Anolis sagrei: one gene and its partner. The protein of the gene in region 1 interacts with the protein of each later gene in a biochemical or structural test. Links are inferred from orthologs where the notes say so. Each region holds a gene or a part of one and is shown on either strand. Other genes may lie near its edges.

What was found. The genes of interacting proteins can lie anywhere in the genome.
Region 2: the proteins of PIAS3 (region 1) and MITF form a complex in vitro, tested with the Homo sapiens proteins (2 studies listed by BioGRID). The link is inferred for Anolis sagrei from reciprocal best matches to the Homo sapiens genes PIAS3 and MITF.

The regions. Positions count from the first base shown.
Region 1 is NC_090032.1:21,886,261-21,893,601, forward strand, and holds the start of PIAS3 (E3 SUMO-protein ligase PIAS3), read left to right. Parts: upstream 1-3,968; 5' UTR 3,969-4,052; coding exon 4,053-4,076; intron 4,077-7,341. Other genes in the region: ANKRD35 (ankyrin repeat domain-containing protein 35), read left to right, coding at 461-526, 1,602-1,664. UniProt on the Homo sapiens protein: Functions as an E3-type small ubiquitin-like modifier (SUMO) ligase, stabilizing the interaction between UBE2I and the substrate, and as a SUMO-tethering factor.
Region 2 is NC_090022.1:38,276,120-38,284,304, forward strand, and holds the start of MITF (microphthalmia-associated transcription factor), read left to right. Parts: upstream 1-4,988; 5' UTR 4,989-5,181; coding exon 5,182-5,285; intron 5,286-8,185. UniProt on the Homo sapiens protein: Transcription factor that acts as a master regulator of melanocyte survival and differentiation as well as melanosome biogenesis.

The DNA.
Region 1 (7,341 bases):
TATTTATTTTTCCTGCAATAATAATAATTGCAGGAAAATTAATTATTATTATTATTATTATTATTATTGCAGGAAAAATAAATAATAATAATTGCAGGAACATTAATAATAATAATAATTATTATTGCAGGAAAAATAAATAATAATTGCAGGAAAATTAATATTAATAATAATTGCAGGAAAAATAAATATTATTATTATTAATAATAATAATAATAAATAATGTAGGATAAATGAAATATTCACAGAATATTCAACAGCACATACACTAAAATTGGAATGATACAGATTAGCAGAATTAACAATTAATTGAAAATCCAATTGGATATATAAATAATTTATCAATTACTTTTCCACCATCAACATTTAATAATATTAATATTCCTAGAATGCAATATATTCCTATTTTTCTGCAAATATTTAATATTAATAATATTTATATCAACATTTATCCTAACAGGTGGCCCAGAAAAACCATCAAGAGATTGTGGCCATTTACCGAACTCACCTGCTCAATGCGGCCCAGGTAAGACTCATATTATTATTATTATTATTATTATTAGTTCCCATATTTCTCATTATTTCTCTTGTCTTTTGGAGGCAAGTGGGAATGTTTCAATTGGCATTGAATGGCCTTGCATCTTCAAAACATTTATTATTATTATTATTATTATTATTATTATATAATTATTATTATGCTATTATTATTTCCAATATTTTCTATTATTTCTCTAGGTTCTCCAACAATATTTAATGCTATTATTATTATTATTATTATTTCCAATATTTTCTATTATTTCTCTAAGTTCTGCAACTATATTTAATAATAATAATAATAATAATCCTCATCATCATCATCATTAAATACTGAACCTAGAAAATCCTAGAGAAATAATGGAAAATATTGGAATAATAATAATAATAATAATATAAATATCACATTTATTATTATTAAATATTATTTATTTTATATAATTATTGTGCTATTATTATTATTATATAATATTATTTATTTTATATAATTATTATTATGCTATTATTATTAATTTCCAATATTTTCTAGTATTTTTCTAGATTCTCCAACAATAATTAATTTAATGCTATTATTATTATTATTATTATTATTATTTCCAATATTTTCTATTATTTCTCTAGGTTTAACAGTATTTAATTTAATGCCATTATTATTATTATTATTATTTCCAATATTTTCTATTATTTCTCTAGTTATTATTATTATTTCCAATATTTTCTATTATTTCTCTAGTTATTATTATTATAACCAATATTTTCTATTATTTCTCTAGTTATTATTATTATTTCTAATATTTTCTATTATTTTATGTGATTATTATTATTATTATTATTTCCAATATTTTCTCTAGGTTCTCCAACAATATTTAATAATAATGATAATAATGATACTATTAATGTTATTATTATTATTATTATTATTTGCAATAATAATCATATCATTATTATATATTATTATATTATTTTTGTGATATGAGAGCCAGCTTATGGACCTCATTTGCTGTGTCAGTATAATAAATAATAATAATAATAATAATAATAATAATGAAAATATGTCTCCAATTTAGGGCTTCATGGACAAAGAGGTGCACGAGATGCTGCTGCGGATCCTGAGGACAAATGACGACTGATGGGCAGAAAAATAAATAAAATGAGATTAAAATAAAAGTCAGTGGTCATCCTTTGTGATATTATACATTTTTCTCAGGGGAAGGGCTGCGAGTTATGGTTCTGAAAGTGTTCTACCATACAAGTCCCGTATCCACAGGGAAAGATTTCCGAATGTACTTTGGGAACAGCACACTACAGCAAACTCGGGTGGTGATGGCATGATCGTCAGCATAGATGAAGCTCTCTATCCCTTCTGCCAGTGGCTGGTCATTCATGTCAATGTTAAACTTGAGGAACCGTATTAAGAGGCATTAGGAAGGTTGGGAAACACTGACTTAAAGCTTTGGAGAGCTTCTGTTCAACCATTACAAAGCTCTCTGCTTCGGTGGTGATGGCACGATCATCAGCATATGTTAAACTATCCCTTTTGGCAGTCGCTGGCCATTTGTGTAGATGTTAAACACAAGGACGTGTATTAAGAGGCATTGGGGAGGTTGGGAAACACTGACCTAAAGCTTCGGAGAGTTTCTGTTCAACCATTACAAAGCTCCTTGCTTGGGCAGTGATGGCATGATCATCAGCGTATATTAAACTCTCTGTCCCTTCTGGCAGTGGCTGGACATTTGTGTCAATGTAAACATGAATGCTGCAAGCTGGTTTTCCCTGTAATAGGCAGTAAGAGAACCTAAAGCTTTGGAGAGCTTCTGTTCAACCATTACAAAGCTGCCTGCTTGAGTGGTGATGGCATGATCATCAGCGTATATTAAACTTGCTGTCCATTCTAGCAGCGGCTGGTCATTTGTGTCAATGTTAAACATGCACGGAGTAAGCACACTCCCCTGATTCAGGTCGTTTTTCTATCTTCGCCATCTGCTTCTCTGGCCCTGAAACTCAACAGAAAAGCTCCTGTTTTGTAGCAGATTTCCTATGAAGTCCTTTTTGATTTTATACATTTTTCTCTGCATTTTATATGTATTAGAAATCAGTCGATTTTCCCTGTAATAGACGGTTAGAGCACTTCAAGCTTCAGAGAGCTTCTGTTCAACCATTACAAAGCTCCCTGCTTGAGTGGTGATGGCCTGATCGTCAGCGTATATTAAAGTCTTTTTCCCTTCTGGCAGTGGCTGGTCATTTGTGTCAATGTTAAACATGAGGAATTGTATTAAGAGGCATTAGGAAGGTTGGGAAACATTGAGCTAAAGCTTTGGAGAGCTTCTGTTCAACCATTTCAAAGCTCTCTGCTTGGGCGGTGATGGCACTGTCATCAGCATATATTATTATTATTATTATTATTATTTCCAATATTTTCTATTATTTTATGCTATTATTATTATTTACCAATATTTTCTATTATTTCTCTAGTTTCTCCAACATTTTATTATTATTATTATTATTATTATTATTATTATGCTATTATCATCAATATTTTTATATTATTTCTCTAGTTATTATTATTATTTCCAATATTTTCTATTTATTATTTATTATTATTATTTCCAATATTTTCTATTATTTATTATTATTATTTCCAATATTTTCTATTATTTATTATTATGCTATTATTATTTCCAATATTTTCTATTATTTCTCTAGTTATTATTATTATCATCAATATTTTCTATTATTTCTCTAGTTATTATTATTATTTCCAATATTTTCTATTATTTATTATTATGCTATTATTATTAGCAATATTTTCTATTATTTCTCTAGTTTCTCCAACATTTAATAATAATTATAATTATTATGCTATTATTATCATCAATATTTTCTATTATTTCTCTAATTATTATCATCATCAATATTTTCTATTATTTATTTATTTATTATTATTATTTCCAATATTTTCTATTATTTCTCTAATTATTATTATCATCATCAATATTTTCTATTATTTATTATTATTATTATTTCCAATATTTTCTATTATTTATTTTTATTTTTATTCTTTCCAATATTTTCTATTATTTATTATTATTATTCTTTCAAGTATTTTCTATTATTTCTCTAGTTATTATTATTATTTCAAATATTTCTATTATTTCTCTAATTATTATTATTATTTCCAATAATTTCTATTATTTATTAATATTATTATTTCCAATATTTTCTATTATTTATTATTATTATCGTTCTTTCCAATATTTTCTATTATTTCTCCAGTTTCCCCAACATTTAGTAATAACTATTCCATCCTATTCTGCGTCTGCTGCGAGGGTTAGCTCTTTAGCGACGCTCCCTGGAGCTTCCCAAGCCGTTCTTTACCGAGGCTGCCTTCGGCCCCGCCCCTTTGTGGGCGTGGTTTCTGGAGGCCCCGCCCCCTCCTGCGTGGCTTTGGCTTCGGCTTCTTCTGCGCCTGCGCCTCAGCTTGGGAGTTTGCCTCCGCTCCCTAGCGAGGATGCCTCAAGATGGCGGAGGCGGCCGAGCTGAAGGTAGGCGGAAATCGGGGAGCGGGCTCCGAAAAAGGGAAAAAGCCGGCCTCGGGGGACCACGGGGGTGTCCCCAAAGGAAGCGGGGTGCCCGAAATATAGGGGGGCCCGGGAAGCCCGGCTCGGGGTGAAAAAGTACCGCCAAGGAGGCTTCGTGAGGGGAAGTAGGCCGCACAAGATGGCGGCGATTCGGGCTTGGGAGAGGGCGGAAGTGACGTCACGCAGGAGGAGGATCTCAAGGCAGAATGGTCAGGCTGATGTCAATAATATATAATAATAATGCCGTAAAATAAATATAATTATATTAATACAAGAATAACAGTATTTAATGTAGTATAGTTATAATAATTTTAATTAAAATAATATTAAATAGTAATGTAATATAATATTTATTAAATAATATTAAATAATAAAGTAATATAATAAGATTGATTAAAATGATATTAAATAGTAATGTAATAAATATAACATACTATAGTAATATAACTTAAAATATTAAATAATAAGGTAATATAATAATATTGATTAAAATGATATTAAATAGTAATGTAATATAATAAATATAATAAAATATAGTAATATAACTTAAAATATTAAATAATAATATAATATAATTAATATAATATAATATAGTAATATAACCCCTGCCCATCCTGGCTTCTGAAGGAGGCCAGAGGGGGATTGGCCGAGTGGGTGAAGGTGGTGGTTAATGCCTCCCTTCGGGAAGGCAGAATTCCAGCCAGCTTAAAGCAAGCTGTGATAAAACCGCTGTTGAAGAAACCATCATTGGACCCCACTCAATTTGACAACTTCCGGCCAGTTTCCAATCTCCCCTTTTTGGGCAAAGTCCTGGAACGTGTGGTGGCCTCACAACTCCAGGTATTCTTGAGAGACACGGATTATCTGGATCCGGCACAGTCTGGTTTCAGACCGGGACATGGTACCGAGACGGCCTTGGTCGCCTTAGTGGATGATCTGCGCCGGGAGCTCGACAGGGGGAGTGTGTCCCTGTTGGTGCTGCTGGACCTCTCAGCGGCCTTCGATACTGTTGACCACGTTATCCTTCTGGGACGCCTCGCGGGAATGGGTCTTGGAGGGACTGTTTTACGGTGGCTCCGGTCCTTCCTGGAGGGTCGCACCCAGAAGGTGTTATTGGGGGACACCTGTTCTACCTCACAACCTTTGTCTTGTGGGGTTCCACAGGGTTCAATACTATCCCCCATGCTGTTTAATATCTACATGAAGCTGTTGGGAGAGATCATCTGGAGGTTCGGGGTACAGTGCCATCTGTACGCGGATGATGCCCAACTCTGTCACTCCTTCCCACCTGCTACTAAGGAGGCTGTCCAGGTCCTGAACCGGTGTTTGGCCGCTGTGATGGTCTGGATGAGGGCGAACAAATTGAAATTAAATCCAGACAAGACAGAGGCACTCCTGGTCAGTCGCAAGGCCAAACAGGGCATAGGGTTACAGCCTGTGCTGGATGGGGTCACACTCCCCCTGAAGACACAGGTTCGCAGCTTGGGTGTGACCCTGGACTCATCGCTGAGCCTGGAACCCCAAGTTTCAGCGGTGACCAGGGGAGCATTCGCACAGCTTAGGCTCATGCGCCAGCTGCACCCGTACCTTGGGAAATCTGACTTGGCCACGGTAGTCCACGCTCTGGTTACATCCCGCTTAGATTACTGCAACGCTCTCTATGTGGGGTTGCCCTTGAAGACGGCCCAGAAGCTTCAATTGGTCCAACGCGCGGCAGCCATGTTACTAACAGGAGCGGGATGCAGGGAGCACACAACGCCCTTGTTGTACCAGCTCCAGTGGCTGCCGATTTGCTACTGGGCTCAATTCAAGGTGCTGGCATTGGCCTTTAAAGCCCTAAATGGTTCTGGCCCAAGATACCTATCTGACCGCATCTCGGCCTACGAGCCCACCAGGACTTTGAGATCGTCCGGGGAGGCCCTGCTCTCGATCCCGCCTGCCTCACAGGCACGCCTGGCGGAGACGAGAGACAGGGCCTTCTCGGTGGTGGCTCCTCGGCTGTGGAACGCCCTTCCCGTGGACATCAGACTGGCTCCTTCCCTAAAATAATAATACTGTAAATAATTGTAATTATATTAATATAATAACAGTATTTAATACAGTATAATTATAATAGTACTAAGGCAGAATGATGAGGTTGATGTAAATAATATTATAATAATAATATAACAATAATAATGTAATAATATAATAATATAGTAATATTATTAAAAATAATAATATTATATTATATAATAATATAATAATAAGGTAACAATAATAATGTAATAATAATATAGTAATGTTATTAAAATAATAATATAATTAAAATAATGATACAATAATAATATAACAGTAATAATATAATAATATAGTAATATTAAAAATAATAATATAATATAATTATATTACATAATAATATAATATTATAATAAAAATATATAACAATATAATTAAAATAATGATATAATAATATAACAATGATAATGTAACAATATAGTAATATTATTAAAATAATAATGTAATATTATTATAAAATATATAATAATATTATTAAAAATAATAATATAATAATATAATATAATGCCTCTAGACCATGGCCATATAGCCTGAAAAACCTACAACAACCCAATAATAATAATAATAATAATAATAATGCTGTAAAATAAATGTAATCATATTAATAGAAGAATAACAGTATTTAATATAGTATAATTATAATAATAAATAATACTAAATAGTAATGTAATATAATAATATTGATTAATATGATATTAAATAGTAATGTAATATAATAAATATAATATATAGTAATATAACTTAAAATATTAAATAATTTAGTAAATATAATATAATATAGTAATATAAAACATTAAATAAAATAATAAATATAATATAGTGATATAACTTAAAATATTAAATACTAATGTAATATAATAATATTGATTAAAATGATATTAAATAGTAATGTAATATAATAAATATAATATAATATAGTAATATAACTTAAAATATTAAATAGTAATGTAATATAATAATATAAGGCATGATAATAATAATAATGCTGTAAAATAAATGTAATCATATTAATAGAAGAATAACAGTATTTAATATAGTATAATTATAATAATACTAATTAAAATAATATTAAATAGTAATATAATATAATAATAATAATAATAATAATATTAAATGAAATGTAATGCAACAATTACAATGAAAACAAAATAATAAATAAAATAGAATGATT
Region 2 (8,185 bases), on another chromosome or scaffold:
TTATGCCAAAAGAACGAGGGAGAGAGGAAGGCATGCAGTGGTTGGGAGCCCTCTAGAGTCCCCTGCGGAGTGAGAAGGACAGAATATAAATGTTTCAAATAAATAAATATTTTTTCCTGAGCATGTCAAGTTAACACAGTAACCTCTGCTTTGTGTAAACATAGTTGATTCTCGCATAAGCTGAAGCTGATGACATGTCTTTCCACATCTAAAGAGTGCTGTGACCTTGGCAGTCGGTAAAGACATTTGGATTTTGAGGAAGTCAATGACAGCACCTCTGATGTTTTTTTTTTTGTCGTGTGAGGAGTGACTTGAGAAACTGCAAGTCGCTTCTGGTGTGAGAGAATTGGCCGTCTGCAAGGACATTGCCCAGGGTACGCCCAGATGTTTTGGTGTTTTATCATCCTTGTGGGAGGCTTCTCTTATGTCCCCACATGAGGAGCTGGAGCTATAGAGGAAGCTCATCCATGCTCTCCCCAGATTCGAACCTGCGACCTGTCAGTCTTCAGTCCTGCCGGCACAGGGGTTTAACCCACTGTGCCACTGGGGGCTCCTACCTCTGACAATGTGCAAAGCATAATATCTTGGATATGAAATTTCAAGTCTCCTTGCCCCCAAGGAAGTCACAAAGTGCTATCCTTTGAAGAGCTTGAATCTCATTGGTTTTTGAAAGAAACGATTTTTGAAATAGGGTCTGATCAAGACGTTTGGAGGCCCTAAACACTTAAAAAAACTCTGATGCACCTGATATATCTTTAATTAAAATATATCCAATAACAAACTGTGAAGTAAGATATTATTTTTCTTTTTGTAATAGAAATAAAGCAAACATTGATACATATATACATACTCATAAACATTGTTAAACAACAACTACATGACTGATACACACTTTCTCCTACAAACATACATCCCTGCTCTAATTACATATAAGACTAAAATGGAAACATACGTACATAAACTAGTTTTAAAAGAGAATTTCCTGCTTCCTTTTTGTCGGTTATTCTATAATGTAACATGTTTTCTTTCTCCTTCTATTCAACAAATTATTTACTTCTACTTGTTTTTGCATTAACAAATCAGTATCCCAACAGTTTCTGTCCCCACATTGTAAAGTATTATTTTATGAAATGAAAAAAAATGGCAGTAAGATGGACAAGTGTCCTTATTTTTGTATACTTCCACATCATTTATATTTGAAAAGATTTCACCTACGTTTTTCTAATAGCAAAGTCTTTTATGGTGGGAGCCCCATTCTGTGGAACCATTTGCAGCAATGAATGTTTTAAGACCAAGTGTTTTGTGGTATTTTATGTATTTTAAATTGATTTAAATAATTTAATGGTTTATTTTTAGACATTACTATGTTTAATTCTATTTTAATGTTTATAGTCTTTAGGTATATTGTATGGTTTTGAGCATCGTTTACCGCTTTGAGTCTCTTTAAGAGGAAAAAACAGTTGTATATAAATATATTGATTAATATAATAAGAAACATAATAATAACAAATATAATAATATTAACATTATAGATTTTAATACTTTTAATGGTTTGTTTTTAGATATCACTAGGTTTAATTCTATTTTAATGTTTATGGTCTGTTTAAGAGGAAAAACAGTGGGATATAAATCTAATAATAAATCTAAAAATAATAAACCTAGGATATCACTAGATTTAAGTCTATTTGAATGTTTATTGTCTCTAGGTATATTGTATTGTTTTGAGCACCGTTCATTGCTTTGAGTCTCTTTGGGCCCAGACTATTTGAAAAAACCACCCTGAGTCCTCCAGGGGAGAAAGGGCAGGTTATAAATAAAGTAATATTATTGTTATTTAAGAGGAAGAAACAGTGGTATATAAATCTAATAATAACTTTAATAATCAAAATAACAATATTATCACTGTTCATCACTTTGAACCTTTTTAAGAGGAAAAAACCCAGTGGTAAATAAATAAATAAATCTAATAATAATAATAATAATAATAATCTGCAAAGGCTCTGGCATAAACCAGTACAGGTGGTCCCAGTGGTCATCAGCACACTGAGTGCCGTGCCAAAAGATCTCAGCTGGCATTTGGAAACAATAAAGCATTGACAAAATCATGATCTGTCAACTACAAAAGGCCACCTTACCTGGATCTGTGTGCGTCATTCGAAAATACATCACACAGGCCTAGATGCTTAGGAAGTGTTCGACTTGTGATTTTGTCATACGAAATCCAACATATAGATCTCGTTTGCTGTGACATATTGTGTTTTTGTGTCAATTGACTAATAATAATTTTAAAAATCTAATAATTAGGTCCAAGTGTCTGGGATTCTTGGACCTAATATGTATGTTATATACAAATAAATCTAATCATAATAAATATAATGTGCAATAAATATTTTCCGGACCCAATTCAAGGTGCAGGTTCTTACCTACAAAGCTCTGAACAGTTTGGGACCTGCCTACCTGCGTGACCGCATTTCTGTGTATGAACCCACACGATCTCTTCGATCATCTGGAGAGGCCCTACTCGTGCTCCCACCTGCATCACAAGTGCGATTGGTGGGGACGAGGGAAAGGGCCTTCTCGGTGGTGGTCCCTCGACTCTGGAACTCACTTCCTAAGGACATCAGGCATGCCCCAACTCTGGCAGTCTTTAGGAGGAGCTTGAAAACGTGGTTGTTCCAGTGTGCCTTCCCAGAATAATGAACCCTTAGCATTATGTCCTCTAAAAGCACTTTATCCTGTTTTAGGACTGCTTGTATGTTTCCACTAACGCCCCACCTCCTCTATCTTGTTCATGCCTAGCATTATTTTTTAACTTTAATTACATTTGGCCCAGCCATAGATTTTAAATGTGTTTTGTGTTATTGTTCAATGTTTATACTATTTGTGTATGAGATTTATTTTAATTGCTTTGTATTAGTATTTGTATTTTGCTTTGTATTATGGTTGTTATTGCTTGTATTGATGTATTGTGGGCTTGGCCTCATGTAAACCGCACCGAGTCCCTTGGGAGATGGTTGCGGGGTATAAATAAAGTTTTATTATTATTATTATTATTATTATTATTATTAATGCACATTATTTATTTATTTATACATACAATATATTATATTATTAGCATAGCACTTTATCCTTCAAAGCACTTTACATTTCTTTAGGTCTGCTCATATGCCCTTCCACAAACACCGGTGTCACTTTTTGTCCATGTCCCAGCATTATTTCCAATTTTAACTCTACATTTGGCCTTCCCACTGTTTTTAATTGTGTGTTGTCTTATGGATAATGTTGCGTATTTTACTGTCTATGTTTTTTTAATTGCTTGTATTGTTGTTATTATTGCTTATATTGTTGTGTTTGGGCTCGGCCTCATGTAAGCCGCACCGAGTCCCTTGGGGAGATGGTAGCGGGGTACAAATAAAGTGTTATTATTATTATAGCACAATATTAGTATTATATATTACTATATTGTACTATACCACTATACTGTAATATTATTAGTAATATTACATGCAATATCATCATCATCACCATCACTTTATTTCTTAATTAGTCGCTCTCCACCAAAGTGCTCCGAGCGACTTACAATTTAAAATAGCTTATACACAATATAAAACATTCAATATAAAAACATTCAACATAAAAACATTCAACATAGAAACATTCAACATAAAAACATTCATCATAAAAACATTCAGCAGTGACTATGGCAAAATTTGATCTGATTACTTAAATGCACAACCAAACAGCCAAGTCTTGAGCGCTTTTACAAAAGGTTGCAACTCCTACATTCCTCTAATATATGGAGGCAATGAGTTCCACAGAATTGGAGCATAGATCGAAAAAGCTCTACGCCTTGTAGCTTCCAAATGTGCCTCCCTAGGACCCGGCATGTAGAGGAGATTTTCCTGGGTGGATCGAGGTGATCACTGATGGGGAAAAGGAATGAGGCGGTCCCTAAGATATAAAGGTCCTTGGCCATTTTGAGCTCTAAATGTCAAGATCAGTATCTTGTAAGAGATCCGATGTTCTATTGGTAGCCAATGCAGTTGTTGCAGAATCCGTGTAATATGGGATCTTATAGATGATCCTGCTAGCAGCCTGGCTGCCGCATTTTTGACCATCCGAATTTTCTGGGTCATTGACTTCGGAAGGCCAGCAAATAAGGCATTGCCTCGTGGTGACTGTTGCGTGGATTACTGTTGCCAATGCTTCTACCGAAAGGTAGGATGCCAATTTCCTTGCCTGTCGAAGATGAAAAAAGGCCTGCTTACTTATGGCAGTGATCTGGGCCTCCATCGTCAACTATGAGTCCAACACAACCCCAGGGCTTTTAACAGTGGCGGACGGAACCAGAGCTTCCCCATCGAAATCAGGCAAAGACTGGGTTAATTCTGGTGGTTGGCTGGGCCAGAGAGTATCTCAGTTTTTGCAGGATTGACTTTTAGGGTGCTCGAAGCCAACTCATCACTGCTTCCAAACACAGCTTAAAGTTCTCAGGAATATAAAATATAAAATTATTATATTGTATTATTATTAGTATTTTATTGTATTACATTATAATATTATAATATTAGCTCCAGACACTTGGACCTAAGGTGCATGTGTGCTGCATTTTTATGTTAAATGTCAATATAATAAATATATAATAATATTGACATTAAACTTTTGCAAATTGATGTTTTGGCTGCCTCTATTTATTTATCTTGAGTACCATTTAGGCGGGAGAAAAGCTGACTGCAAACCCAATAAGTCAATAAATGCTGCCCTTTCTTTACTTATTGGAGATAGAGAGATAGAGATCTCGAGATATACCCTTGGCTTCTGCTGACATTGACAGGACGCACGCGGGTGCCTTTCTCTCCCTCTCCCGCCTCCTTCTGCTGGGCATCACGGCCGCGCGGCACCACGGGAGCTGTAGTCCCGCGGCCGGGGAGGCGCCATAGCGCGCGCCCTCGCCAGGACTACGCTTCCCAGGGAGCCCCGCGAGGGAGGTGTGTGTGGCGCGTGTCCCCGCTCGAGGGGCGGCCGGGCGAGGGAGCGCGCCGAAGAGCTGCTGGCAGCCAGCGGGCAAAGTCGGAGGAGGAAGGAAGGTTGGGGTGGCGCAGGCTTTTGGCCCCCGTCTCCTCCCGTCCTTTCCCCCGTTTGCATATTCTGCCCGGGGAGACGGAGCGGAGCGGGGGCGCCATGCAGGCGGAGTCGGGGATCGTGGCGGACTTCGAGGTGGGCGAGGACTTCCACGAGGAGCCCAAGACCTACTATGAGCTCAAGAGCCAGCCCCTCCCGCGCAGGTGAGCCAGGCCTCCCCAGGGAAACCCTCTGCTGGGCCTCCTCTCCCCCTTCGCACACTCTCTCTCTCGCTCTCTGCCTTCCTTGCCCTTCTCATCTCCTGCTCTGACCTCTCAGCCCGGCCTCCCCTTGCTGCACTCCTCCTGCTGCCTGACCCCATGCCACTGGAGCGAGCCTCCTCCCTTTGCTTTCCTGATGCCAGGTCAAGCGAAGGAGAGCTTCCTTCCCTCCCTCCCTCCTTCCCTTCCCTTCCCTCTCTCCTCCCTTCCCCTTCATTCTCACTTTCCTTTCCACCCCTTTCTCCTTCCCTTCATTCTCCCCTTCTTCCCTTCCTTCCCTCCTTTCCTCTCCTCTTCATTTTCTCCTTCCTGTCCTTCCCTCTCTCCTTCAATTCCTTCTCCCCTTCATCCTTCCCTTCCTTCCCTCTTTCCTCCCTTCCCTTCCTTTCCCATCATTCTCACTTTCCTTCTCTTCCCTTACTCCTTCCCTTCATTCTCCCCTTTGTCCCTTCTTTCCCTCCTTACCTTTCCTCTCTCCTTACTTCCCTTTGCCTTCCTTCCTTCTTTCCTTTCTTTCTTTCTCTTTCTTTCTCTTTTCTTCCCTTTCTCCTTCCCTTCATTCATCCCTTCCCTCCTTTCCTTCCCTCTCTCCTCCCTTCCCTTCCTTTTCCTCCATTCTTGCTTTCTTTTCCTTTCTCCTTCTCTTCATTTCCCCCTTTGTCCATTCCTTCCCTCTTTTCCTTTCCTCTCTTATTACTTCCCTTCCTTTTCATTCTCTTCTTTCTTTTCCCTTTCCTCTTCCCTTCAGTCTCCCCTTTGTCCCTTCCCTTCCTTCCTCACTTCCATCTCTCCATTCCTTTGCATTCCTTCTCAGTTTCTTTCTTTCTTTGCTTCCCTCCTTCTCTTCCTTCCCTGTCTTCTTTCCATTCTCCCTCTCCTTTCTTTCCTTTCATTCCCCCCTTCATTTTCTCCTTCCTGTCCTTCCCTCTCTCCTTCAATTCCTTCTCCTCTTCATCCTTCCCTTCCTTCCTTCTTTCCTCCCATCCCTTCCTTTCCCATCATTCTCGCTTTCCTTCTCTTCCCTTACTCCTTCCCTTCATTCTCCCCTTCGTCCCTTCCTTCCCTCCTTTCCTTTCCTCTTTCCTTACTTCTCTTTCACTTCTTTCTCTTCTTTCTTTCTTTCTTTCTTTCTCAGTTTCTTTCTTTCCTTCCCTTTCTCCTTCCCTTCATTTTCCCTTTCGTCCCTTCCTTCCCTCCTTTCCTCTCTCTTTACTTCCCTTTCCTTCATTCTCTTCTTCCATTCCTTCCTTACTTCCATCTCTCAATTCCTTTGCATTCCTTCTCACTTTCTTTCTTTCCCTCCTTCCCTTCCTTCCCTTTCTTCTTTCCATTCCCTCTCTCCTTCCTTTCCTTTTCTTTCTTCATTTCCTCTTTCCTGCCCTTCCCTCTCTCCTTCCCCTCATTCTCCCCTTCATCCTTCCTTCTCCACTTCCCTTCCCTCCCTTCCCTCTCCCCTTCTCTTCTTCCTTCCACCTCTCCTTTCTTTTGCATTCCCTCTCAATTCCTTTCTTCCCTTCCTTACCCCCTCTTTCCTTCCCTTCCTTCCTTCCTTCCTTCCTTCCTTCCTCCTGTTCCGTCTCTTCTTCCTTTTCTTTTCTTTTCTTTTCTTCCTTTCCCTTCATTCTCTCCTTCCTCTCCTTCCCCCTCTCCTTCCTTTCATCCTTTTCCGCCTCCCCTCCCTCCCCTTCCTATAATCTTCTCTTCATTTTCCCCTTCCCTCTTTTCTTCTCCTCTCTCCTTCATTCTCCTTTTATCCCTTCCTTCCCTTCCCTTCATTCTCTCCTTTCCTTCCTTCTTTCCCTTCCCTCTCTCCTTCCTTTCCTCCTTTTCCTTACCTTTATTCTGTCCTTCCTTCCCTCTCCCCTCCCCTCCCCTCCACTCTTCCCTTCCCTCCCTCACTTCCTTCCTCCCCTGCCCTCTCTCCTTCCTTTCCTTCCCTCTCTCCTCCCCTTCATTCATTCCCTTCCCTCTCTCCTTCCTTTCCTTTCATTTATTTCCCTTCATTCTCTCCTTCCTATCATTCCCTCCTTTCCTTTCCTCTCACCTTCCCTTCATTCTTCCCCTCATCCCTTCCCTCCACCACTCTTCCCTTCCCTCCTTCCTTCAAACTTTCCTTTCCCTTCTTTCTCAAATTCTTTCTTTCTTTCCTTCCTTCCTTCCTTCTCTCTCTCCCTCCTTCCCTTCCCTTGCCTGCTGTTAGGAATTGTGGAAATTGAAGTCCAAAACACCCGTAGGACCCAAGTTGTCCAATGCCTGCTCCAGAATGAATGCAGTTTGACACCACTTGAATTGTCATGGCTCATTGCTGTGGAGTCCTGGAGTTGTACTTTTACAAGAACTTTAGCTTTCTCTGCTAAGGGATGCTGGTTTCTCACTAGATCACACCTCCTATTGTTCCAGAGCATTGAGCCATGACAGATCAAGTGGTGTCAAAACTGCATCAGTTCTACAGTGTAGACACCCCCCCCCCCCGGCCTTCTTGGGGAACATAAAATGCCAGGGCCTTCTCTCAGGTCCCATCTAACTAAGGTGGAAACTTGTTCCCTTATATGTTTTGGAGGTGGTAAGAGTTTTCCCTGACTTCTCAGGACTTTGGTATACTTCCCCACCCCCCTCACCCTTCTGCAAGAGAGGTGTATGTAATATGTGTGGGTTGACACAGATGCTGTGCAGCGTGCCAAAGCTGAGGAGGAGGCGGTGCCCATTTGTTTTGAGGTGTGAGAAGCGTGCGTGGCAGAAACAAAAAAAACAAGAAGAAGAAAAAGGAGACTCAGCAGCTGTAGGTTTGGCTCTCCCACCGCACCAGCCTTCTTCTCCTTCGCTTTGACTTGTGTTAAAAATCC